Oryctolagus cuniculus: one gene and its partner. The protein of the gene in region 1 interacts with the protein of each later gene in a pairwise test. Links are inferred from orthologs where the notes say so. Each region holds a gene or a part of one and is shown in the gene's direction. Other genes may lie near its edges.

Evidence for each region.
Region 2: the proteins of TRIM38 (region 1) and RFC5 interact in binary tests that used the Homo sapiens proteins (3 or more experiments, as listed by UniProt). The link is inferred for Oryctolagus cuniculus from reciprocal best matches to the Homo sapiens genes TRIM38 and RFC5.

What each region holds. Positions count from the first base shown.
Region 1 is NC_091436.1:153,298,188-153,301,989, forward strand, and holds part of TRIM38 (E3 ubiquitin-protein ligase TRIM38), read left to right. Parts: intron 1-1,270; coding exon 1,271-1,501; intron 1,502-2,303; coding exon 2,304-2,326; intron 2,327-2,421; coding exon 2,422-2,534; intron 2,535-2,805; coding exon 2,806-3,329; 3' UTR 3,330-3,802. UniProt on the Homo sapiens protein: E3 ubiquitin-protein and E3 SUMO-protein ligase that acts as a regulator of innate immunity. Acts as a negative regulator of type I interferon IFN-beta production by catalyzing 'Lys-48'-linked polyubiquitination of AZI2/NAP1, leading to its degradation.
Region 2 is NC_091452.1:14,198,064-14,202,487, forward strand, and holds the start of RFC5 (replication factor C subunit 5), read left to right. Parts: upstream 1-1,613; 5' UTR 1,614-1,778; coding exon 1,779-1,843; intron 1,844-2,809; coding exon 2,810-2,874; intron 2,875-3,078; coding exon 3,079-3,215; intron 3,216-4,424. UniProt on the Homo sapiens protein: Subunit of the replication factor C (RFC) complex which acts during elongation of primed DNA templates by DNA polymerases delta and epsilon, and is necessary for ATP-dependent loading of proliferating cell nuclear antigen (PCNA) onto primed DNA.

The sequences.
Region 1 (3,802 bases):
ATAGAGGCAGAGAGGGGGAGCTTCCATTGGCTGGTTTGCTCCCCAAATGACTGCGATGGCTAGGGCTGGGCCAGGCCAAAGCCAGGAGCTTGGAACTCCATCTGGGTCTCCCATGTGAGAAGCAGAGGCCTAAGCATTTGAGCCATCTTCTGCTGCCTGCCCCGTGAATTGGCAGGGGATTGGATCAGAAGTGGAGCTGCAAGGACTTGAACCTGTGCTCTGGGATGCCAGCATCTTAGGCGGTAGCCTAACCCATTGCACCGCAACACCTGCCCCTCTTTTTCTTTTTGTGGTAAAATAAACATACCATAAAACTTACCATTTTGATATTCCTGAGTGTTACACTTAGGTGGTGTTAAGTATTTTACGTGGTGAAGCAGCACCACCGCCATCCATTTCCACTTTTTCCATTTTCTAGACGGCACCGTTGTATCCAGTGATTACTAACTCCCAGTCTCCCTTTCTCCCAGGATGTGGTAACCACGATTTGATAAGTATATCTTCTCTCTGTGAATTGAACTATTCTAGGTACCTCCCGAGTGGTCTTCAAAAAGTTCATGGAAAATATGAATTATAGAAAAAACTATGCATGGATTTTAAAAATATTTTGCAACAAAACAAACTTTTCTTTTAATTCTATTTTCCATGAACTTTTTGAAGTTCCCTTTTGTAAATGAAATCTTAGAATATTTATCCCTTTTTTTTTTTTCTAGCTCGTTTCACATAGCAAGAATATTTTCAAGGCTCATCCATGTTGTATCATGTTTCACATTTTCATTCGTTAAGGCTGAATAATATTCCATTGTATCTATAAACTACATTTTGTTTGTCCTATCATTCAAGGTTGGATATGTGGTCTTTTCCACTTTTGACTATACCCTCCATCCTTCCCTCCCTCCCTCTCTCCCTCCCTCCTTCCTTTCCTCCCTTCCTTCCTTCCCTTGAAGGGCAGAGTGATAGAGAAGGAGAGACAGAGAGAAAGAGAAGTCTATCCACTTACTGGTTCATTTCCCAAATGCCTACAACAGCTGGGGCTGGGCCAGATTGATGCCAGGAGCCAGGAACTCCATCTAGGTCTCCCACGTAGGTGGCAGGGGCCTAAGTACTTGGGCCATCATCTACTGGGTGCATTAATGGGCAGCTGGATTGGACACAAGGACATTGGGACTGGGTCTAGCACCTTGATATACGTGGGATGCGGGTGTCACAAGCAACGGCTTAACCTGCTGAGACACAGTGTTGGCTCCTGACCATACTTTCTTAACTCCAGGAGAAGATAGAGACTCAGAGACAAAAAATCCGCTGTGATTTTGAGACTCTCCAGAGCTTTCTACAAAAAGAGGAGAATTCTTACCTCTGGAGGCTGGAGAAAGAGGAGAAGCAGGTTTTGAAGAGGCTGCAGGATGGTCAGGCCAGTCTGGAGAAGCAGAGCCAGGAACTCAGGAGCCAAATCCAGGGGCTGGAGGAAAAGTGTCAAAGCCAGGCCCAGCAAGTGCTGCAGGTGAGGCTGGGGGAGGTGCAGGTGGGGGGCTGGCGTGGGTGCCTGCCTTCGCTCAGCAGTGGCACACTAATGCGGGGGTGTGTATCTGTCTCAGCAGGACGGGCTCATTCATTCACAGGACCTCTTTAAGTTAATTAGAAAAGCCTCCTTCCTCTGAGTGCACGGAGTGGCCAGGTGGACCTTGGGATAATTTTACCACCGTTTGCCCCTGGTCCTGTGTGCACAGAACCCTGATTCTCAGATTCTCTCCCAAAGACTCCTCCAGGGGCCAGTGAGTGATAACCTTTCCTTACTCTCTGGTGGAGCTCTTGCTCCAGAGCTGTGCTGGGGCCTTCTGACACCTCCAAGGATCCTCCCGGTTAAGGTAAATAGCTGGAGCTGTTAGTTCTGTCCCCACTAACGGGATGGTTGTTCCACTGTAAGGTTGAGAGCGTAGCATGGCTGCTCCACCACCACGGGACACCTGCAGCCGCCACCTTGGTGCACATCTTGCCAGGGGGAGCCAGGGCAAAGCGTGTGGCCCTTTCCCCAAGTGGCCCGCATGCTGATGCTGTTGTCGACACAGCTGCTTCCCACGGGTTTCATCCGGGACAGCAGGAGATGCTGAGGGTGATAAGCATCCTGTCACACTGCATGTCCTGGAGGCCAGGGCAGGAACCATTCCCTGGAGCATCTGTCCACATCTAAGGCTGGGGTCACCGTGCTTCTTTGGAGTGAGCATGAATGGAGGACAGCACCGCGTGCCAAACCCTGACACCTGGAGATGGTGACACACTCACCGTTTGCTTTTGTGTCTTTACAGGATGTGAAGGGCACGCTGGACAGGTAAGTCCTCTAGGGTTGCGGGAGGGGTGCGGGGAGGACGTGTGCGGCTACAGGGAACGCACCCCTCCAGGTATCTCTGGCCCTGCTTCCTCTAGGAGCTGGGCTGTGAAGCTGGAAGCGCCAGAGGTCTTCTCCTTGGAGGTTCTTACGACGTGCAACGTTTCTGAGCTTTACTTTGATGTGAAGAAGATGTTAAGGAGCTATCGAGGTGCGTGCACTCAAACGTCCTTACGTGCTGGGGGTGGAAGGGACCCAAACAGTAAACGCGCTCAGCCCCTGTCCCGAGCAGGCGCACTGCCGTAGGCCAGGTGCAGCTGTGATGCTGTCCCTCGTCAGTGTGCTCGATGCTTCACGTGGGTGCTGCATGCTGGTTACCTGGTAAAAAACGAGTAGCTGAGCATCCCCTTTAAGTTAGAAGAGCCACAGAGAAACCCAAAGCGACGTTTGGGGTTTCTTTTGTTGTGGTTGTCTTTCTGCAGTCGACGTGACTCTGGATCCAGTTACAGCCCATCCTGAACTGACCCTGTCTGAAGACCGGAGGCAGGTGACCCGGGGGTGGCCCCAGGAGAATCTCGCCGCGTCTCCCAGGAGATTCAGTGCCTTACCCTGTGTCCTGGGCTGTGAGAGCTTCGATTCAGGAAAGCATTTCTTTGAAGTGGATGTTGGAGAAGGGACGGGGTGGGATTTGGGAGTTTGTGTGGAAAGTGTGCAGAGGGGGTTCGGGGTAAAGCAGAAGCCGCAGTCTGGCTTCTGGGCCATCAGGCTGTGCAGGAAGAGAGGCTATGTTGCGCTCACCTTCCCCCAGACTCCTCTCTATCTCAGTCAGCAGCCCCTGGTGGTGGGAGTTTTTCTGGACTTTGAGGCCGGAGTTGTATCTTTTTACAATATGAGTACAGGTGCTCACCTCTTCACCTTCCCAAAGGCCTCCTTCTCTGATACTCTGCGACCCTATTTCCAGGTGTATCACTGTTCTCCTTTGTTCCTGCCTCCCCCGGGTGAGTAGGACAGGCGCAGAGTCTCCTTGTTGGCTTCACCAGCACAGAGAGGAGACTTCAAGTCCCGTGAGGGCAGAAATTTGGTCTCTCCTATTCCCTGCTGTTCCCCCAGTACCTAGAACTGTGATGGCTTTTAGTGGACACTGCTACATCTGCCCTGAACTGCCGGCTCTGGAGACTTTCAGGCTGTCACGAAGATCAGGTCAACAGTGAGGGTCGCACTGTCCTCCCTGCCAGTCCCTCTGCAGTGAGCCCAGGGCTGTGACTGCTCCGGGGTCCTTGAGCAGGGTGTCCCCAGAGTTAGGGAGTCTTCCAGCTTGGTTGACACCATTGTAACTCCTGAGAGCAGGGGCATGAAAGGAGGCCGGGAGTGTCTGCCCACCACATAAAAGAGCAGGAAAAAAAAACAAAATAGCAGCGGCTCCTCCCACAGTGTGCCTGGTCAGTGATCCTCAGAGCTGTCCTTCCTGCAGGCTGCCGG
Region 2 (4,424 bases), on another chromosome or scaffold:
CCCAGGCATATTAGGAGGGAGCTGGATTGGAACTAGAGCAGCCGGGTCTTGAACTGACACCCACATGGGATGCCGGCATCACAGGTACCAGTCCCGGTGAGATCTATTTTTGACCCTTACAGCAAATGAGGGCTGGAACACATCACTTACCTACAAAGTAGAATCAACCATAGGAACTCGGGCTTCTTGCAACAACTGAAGCACTTGGAAAAGTGGCCTGTAGTAACTGCATAGCAGATATTAGCTATTGTCATTCATTCATTCACCAAAGAACTAGTGAGTGCTTCCTTTTAGCCATACCCTGTGAGTCCAGCGCTTTGATAACTCAAAGCCTCTCTCTCCCAACAAGCTTATTATAATCCATTGGGGAAGCACCCTGTAGACAATAACCTCATGAATACATGATACCATGTCCCCCAACAGAATTCTGCATTGCAAGCAAACAGAACAGCAGGTGCACAGGGAGTTTTATGAGGACTTAGGCCAGTCTCGTCTGAATCTCCCAACTCACAGAAGTAGGGTGTGTCTCCAAGGCAAGGTCACAGCGTGGTCTCACCTGCAGCTTTTGTGGATTGTGTCATGCGGAACCCTGGGCAACGTCGTCTCACCCCAGTGTTGTTGTCTTTCTTGCCATGTTTTCCTTTTCTTTTCCTAAAGTATTTTATTAGAGATGTTACACACACTCATTGCTGAAAAAGACAAAAGTGGTCCAGAATCCTCTCTCCCCAGGAATAAAAAAAAACACTAAAATAAAATTTTTAATGCTTTTGTTTTCATTTTATTTGAAAGGCAGAGACACAGAGAAATCTTTCAGCCACTGCTTCACTCCCCAAATGCCCGTAACAGCTGGGGCTGGGGCCAGGTTGAAGCCAGGAGCCAGGAACTCAACCCGGGTCTCCCAAGTCGGGCGGTAGGGACGGAGGTCCCTGAGCCCTCCCTGCCTTCCCTGTGCAGTAGCAGGAAGCTGGACCAGAAACAGAGCCAGGACTCAGACCCGGGCAGCCCCTTTAGCCTCTGTGCCAAATGCCGGCCCCCAAACACTAAAATTCTGATAGCAATTCTCAGAGCACCGGGCTCCCTCTTGTGTGTTTATTAATTATGCTTTTCCAGTTGCACGGAACCACCCAGCTGGAAGGTTTGTTTTTCTTTTGTTTTCTCTCTGGAGTCTCTCTCCTGGAGGTCAGCCCTCTAAACTCCGCGAGTGAGGAGGGAGCGGGGCTGTTTGGAGCTGTGTCCAAGTCCAAGTAGTCACCTCCCTGCTTTGGGGCCGAAAGGGATTGTGAGCATTTTTATGTCGCCGTTATTGATATTTATATGCATGAGCTGCCCCTGTCACTTGGGTTGTTTTTGCCTTAGGATTTCTTTTTTAGCTCTGGTTGCTATCTGATCCTTTGAAATTGATTGAATCTTGGTAATGGCTGGAATTGGCTTTGGCCTTGAGACCTTAATTTGTAAGGATGATTGGCGGGGCCCCTGGCCCCCCTCTCTGGAATCCCCTGGGTAGCTGAGAGCGCGCAGAGCAGGCTGGAGGGGAGGAGCCGAGGGAGGCTGCGGGTCCGCGCCTCCGGTAACCTAGCAACCGGCGCCGTAGCAACGGGGAGGGGGCGGGACCTAGGAAGGAAGTCGGAAGCTAGCAGCCCCAAGTCTCGCGAGAGTTGCGTTTGCGCGCGAACTCTAACTACAGGGGTCCAGGGGTGGGACGGTGACTGCTTTCTGGGCAGGGGTTCCCTGAGGGACGCCACAGCCACTGCGGACCCGGTCACCTTGGTCCCCCAGCCATGGAGAGCTCAGCCGTCCAGCAGCAGGAGCAGCCCGCGGCGGCCAAGATGCGGAACCTGCCGTGGTAGGAGCGGGCGCGGCGGGCGCGGCGGGCAGGGGTCGGCCGCGCGCGGGGGCGCAGGTGGCGGCCCTCCTGGGCCCGCGGCCGGGTGCCAGCCGGGTGACAGCGCCGGGGCTCGATCCCGCGTTCCTCTGGCCATAGTCTGCCGTGGAGCTGCTGGTCAAGCTCTAGACCGGAGTAGCGGAGGAGCCCGGGGCGGGCTGCCCTCGGACGCCGCGGAGCGGATCAGGCGCCCTGCTGGGCGGCGGTGGAGGCTGGCGCGCGGTGGAGAGGGCACCCGATTCGCCTGGGACGCAGGCGGGACGCCAGGCTTGGGACCTTGGGTTGCTGCCGGTGGTCCGAGTTCAGATCCTGGCGCTTCCCCGTCCCGTGTCCACGACTAGGGTGGGGGCAGGGGCGCATCAGGCAGCATTTGCGCGGTGGCACATTTGTACTTGCCGCATTTCCCGTCACCCCGAGAGGAGCCACTCCCCGTTTTTGCCTGTTCTGGGCTCTCCGTGTCAGTGGCATCACACGATGTGTGGCGAGTGTCAGAATTCCATTGTATGCATAGAGGGCACTTCCTCTGTACCTGCGTCCGGCGGTGGGTGTTGGGTAGGAGTTCCCTGTGGAAGTCTCTGTCGGTGCCCACTCAGGTTGACATCGGAGGCAGACAGCTGGACAGGTGAGATGAGAGCGCCATCTCCCATCTGGGGCTGTTAACATGATGGGCTAGTTACTGCACTGAGTGGGGGACGCGGACAGGGGAGCTGTCGTGTGCCTTGTACGATGTAGTGACACCCAGTTGTCACCACTAGAAATGTCACCAGGTAGCCCCGGATCGCCCTGGTGGAGAACCACAGGTCTATACGGGAACCTACAAGGCTTCCTTTCTCTTCCTCTTTGAGTTGGGATACGAAAGGGTTCTTCTGCACATAGGAAATGTTCTCGAGTTTACGCATGTCGTATATATTCTGAATTGTATTGCAGGGTCGAAAAGTACCGGCCACAGACGCTGAACGATCTCATTTCTCACCGGGACATCCTGAGTACCAGTGAGTACCTGGGGTTAGTTACTCGTGTCTGCTGAGTAGAAGTTCACAGCCTGATCAGGCTCGTGGGCTGCGGCTGTAGGCGTCGAGCCCTCCCCTCTCCTTGCTGCCTTTGCCTCTGACTTGCCCACAGCCTGGGTGCGGAGCCCGCGGCTCCCGGGGCTGGGCCAGTCCCAGGGACTGACGGTGGCGCCCTGTCTTCCTCAGTTCAGAAATTCATTAGTGAAGACCGACTGCCACACCTGCTTCTCTACGGCCCTCCGGGGACAGGAAAGACGTCCACCATCCTCGCCTGTGCTAAACAGCTGTACAAAGACAAAGAATTCGGCTCCATGGTCTTGGAGGTAAACAGGGTTATTCTTACTCCACAAAGGACTCCGCCTCTTAACTTGCCCTGTGCTGGTTTTATTATAACTTCAAGTGTAAGTGGTCCCTCGGCACTTGAGAAAGAAGCAGGTTGGACGTGAGGTGGTGGACTCCACTCTTCTCCGCGTGCTTGTCTTGGTCCAGTTGGTGCCTGCCTGCCAAGGCGGTTGTGGGCCTGTGGTTCCCTTCGCCCAGCCCCTCCTGGGCCCCGCCCCTCCAGGGCCCCGCCCCTCCCGGGTCCCGCCCCTCCTGGGCCCCTCCTGCCTTCCCGGCGGCCCCTGCACTGCTTGCTGCCCGGAAGGCCGAGCCGCATCGCCTCTACGCTCCCTTTGCCCCCTGGCTCCTGGATGGGTTGGCCAGTAGGAGCCCTGGCAGGGAAACGGGGACAGAAGAGAGTGGTGCCCAGACCTGTCCTGGGGGTGACCGCCAGCAGGCGCTGCCCCCACACACACAGGGCACAGCTCACGGGTGACGTCCCTCCCTCCCTCTCCAGGGTGCGTGGTCCTGTGCCCCACCCCCCAGCACCTTTTAAGTCATCACTTCATTGAATTCTCTTCAAGTGACTGCATTTGAGTAGATTGCTGGGACCCGGGATGGTACACGTGTATTATAAAAGTCCAAATACTGTTTCTGTAAGAAAAAACCGTGTATCTTACTTTATGGGTTGTGGTAGCCGGGATGTACATTGTTCTGCCAGGGCCTGGGGTGCTGTCGGGTGCGGCCTGGCCAGTGAATCCTTTCCGGGTTCTGGGAGCGCCCGCCCTCGAAGGCTTGGGAAAGGTGCCGTTTGCCTTTCAGAATGCAGGGTAGTGGCTTAGTGAGTTTTGAGGACAGCTGGTTTTTATTTTATTTATTTATTTATTTTTCTTTTGACAGGAAGAGTTAGAGACAGCGAGAAAGGTTTTCCTTCCATTGGTTCACCCCCAAAATGGCTGCAATGGCTAGAGCTATGCCCATCCGAAGCCAGGAGCCAGGTGCTTCTCCTGGTCTCCCATGGGGTGCAGGGCCCAAGCACTTGGGCCATCCTCCACTGCACTCCCAGGCCACAGCAGAGAGCTGGACTGGAAGAGGGGCAACCGGGACAAAATCTGGTGCCCCGACCGGGACTAGAACCTGGGGTGCCGGCGCCGCAGGCGGAGGATTAGCCTAGTGAGCTGCGGCTGTCATTAGACCATGAAAACTAGTCC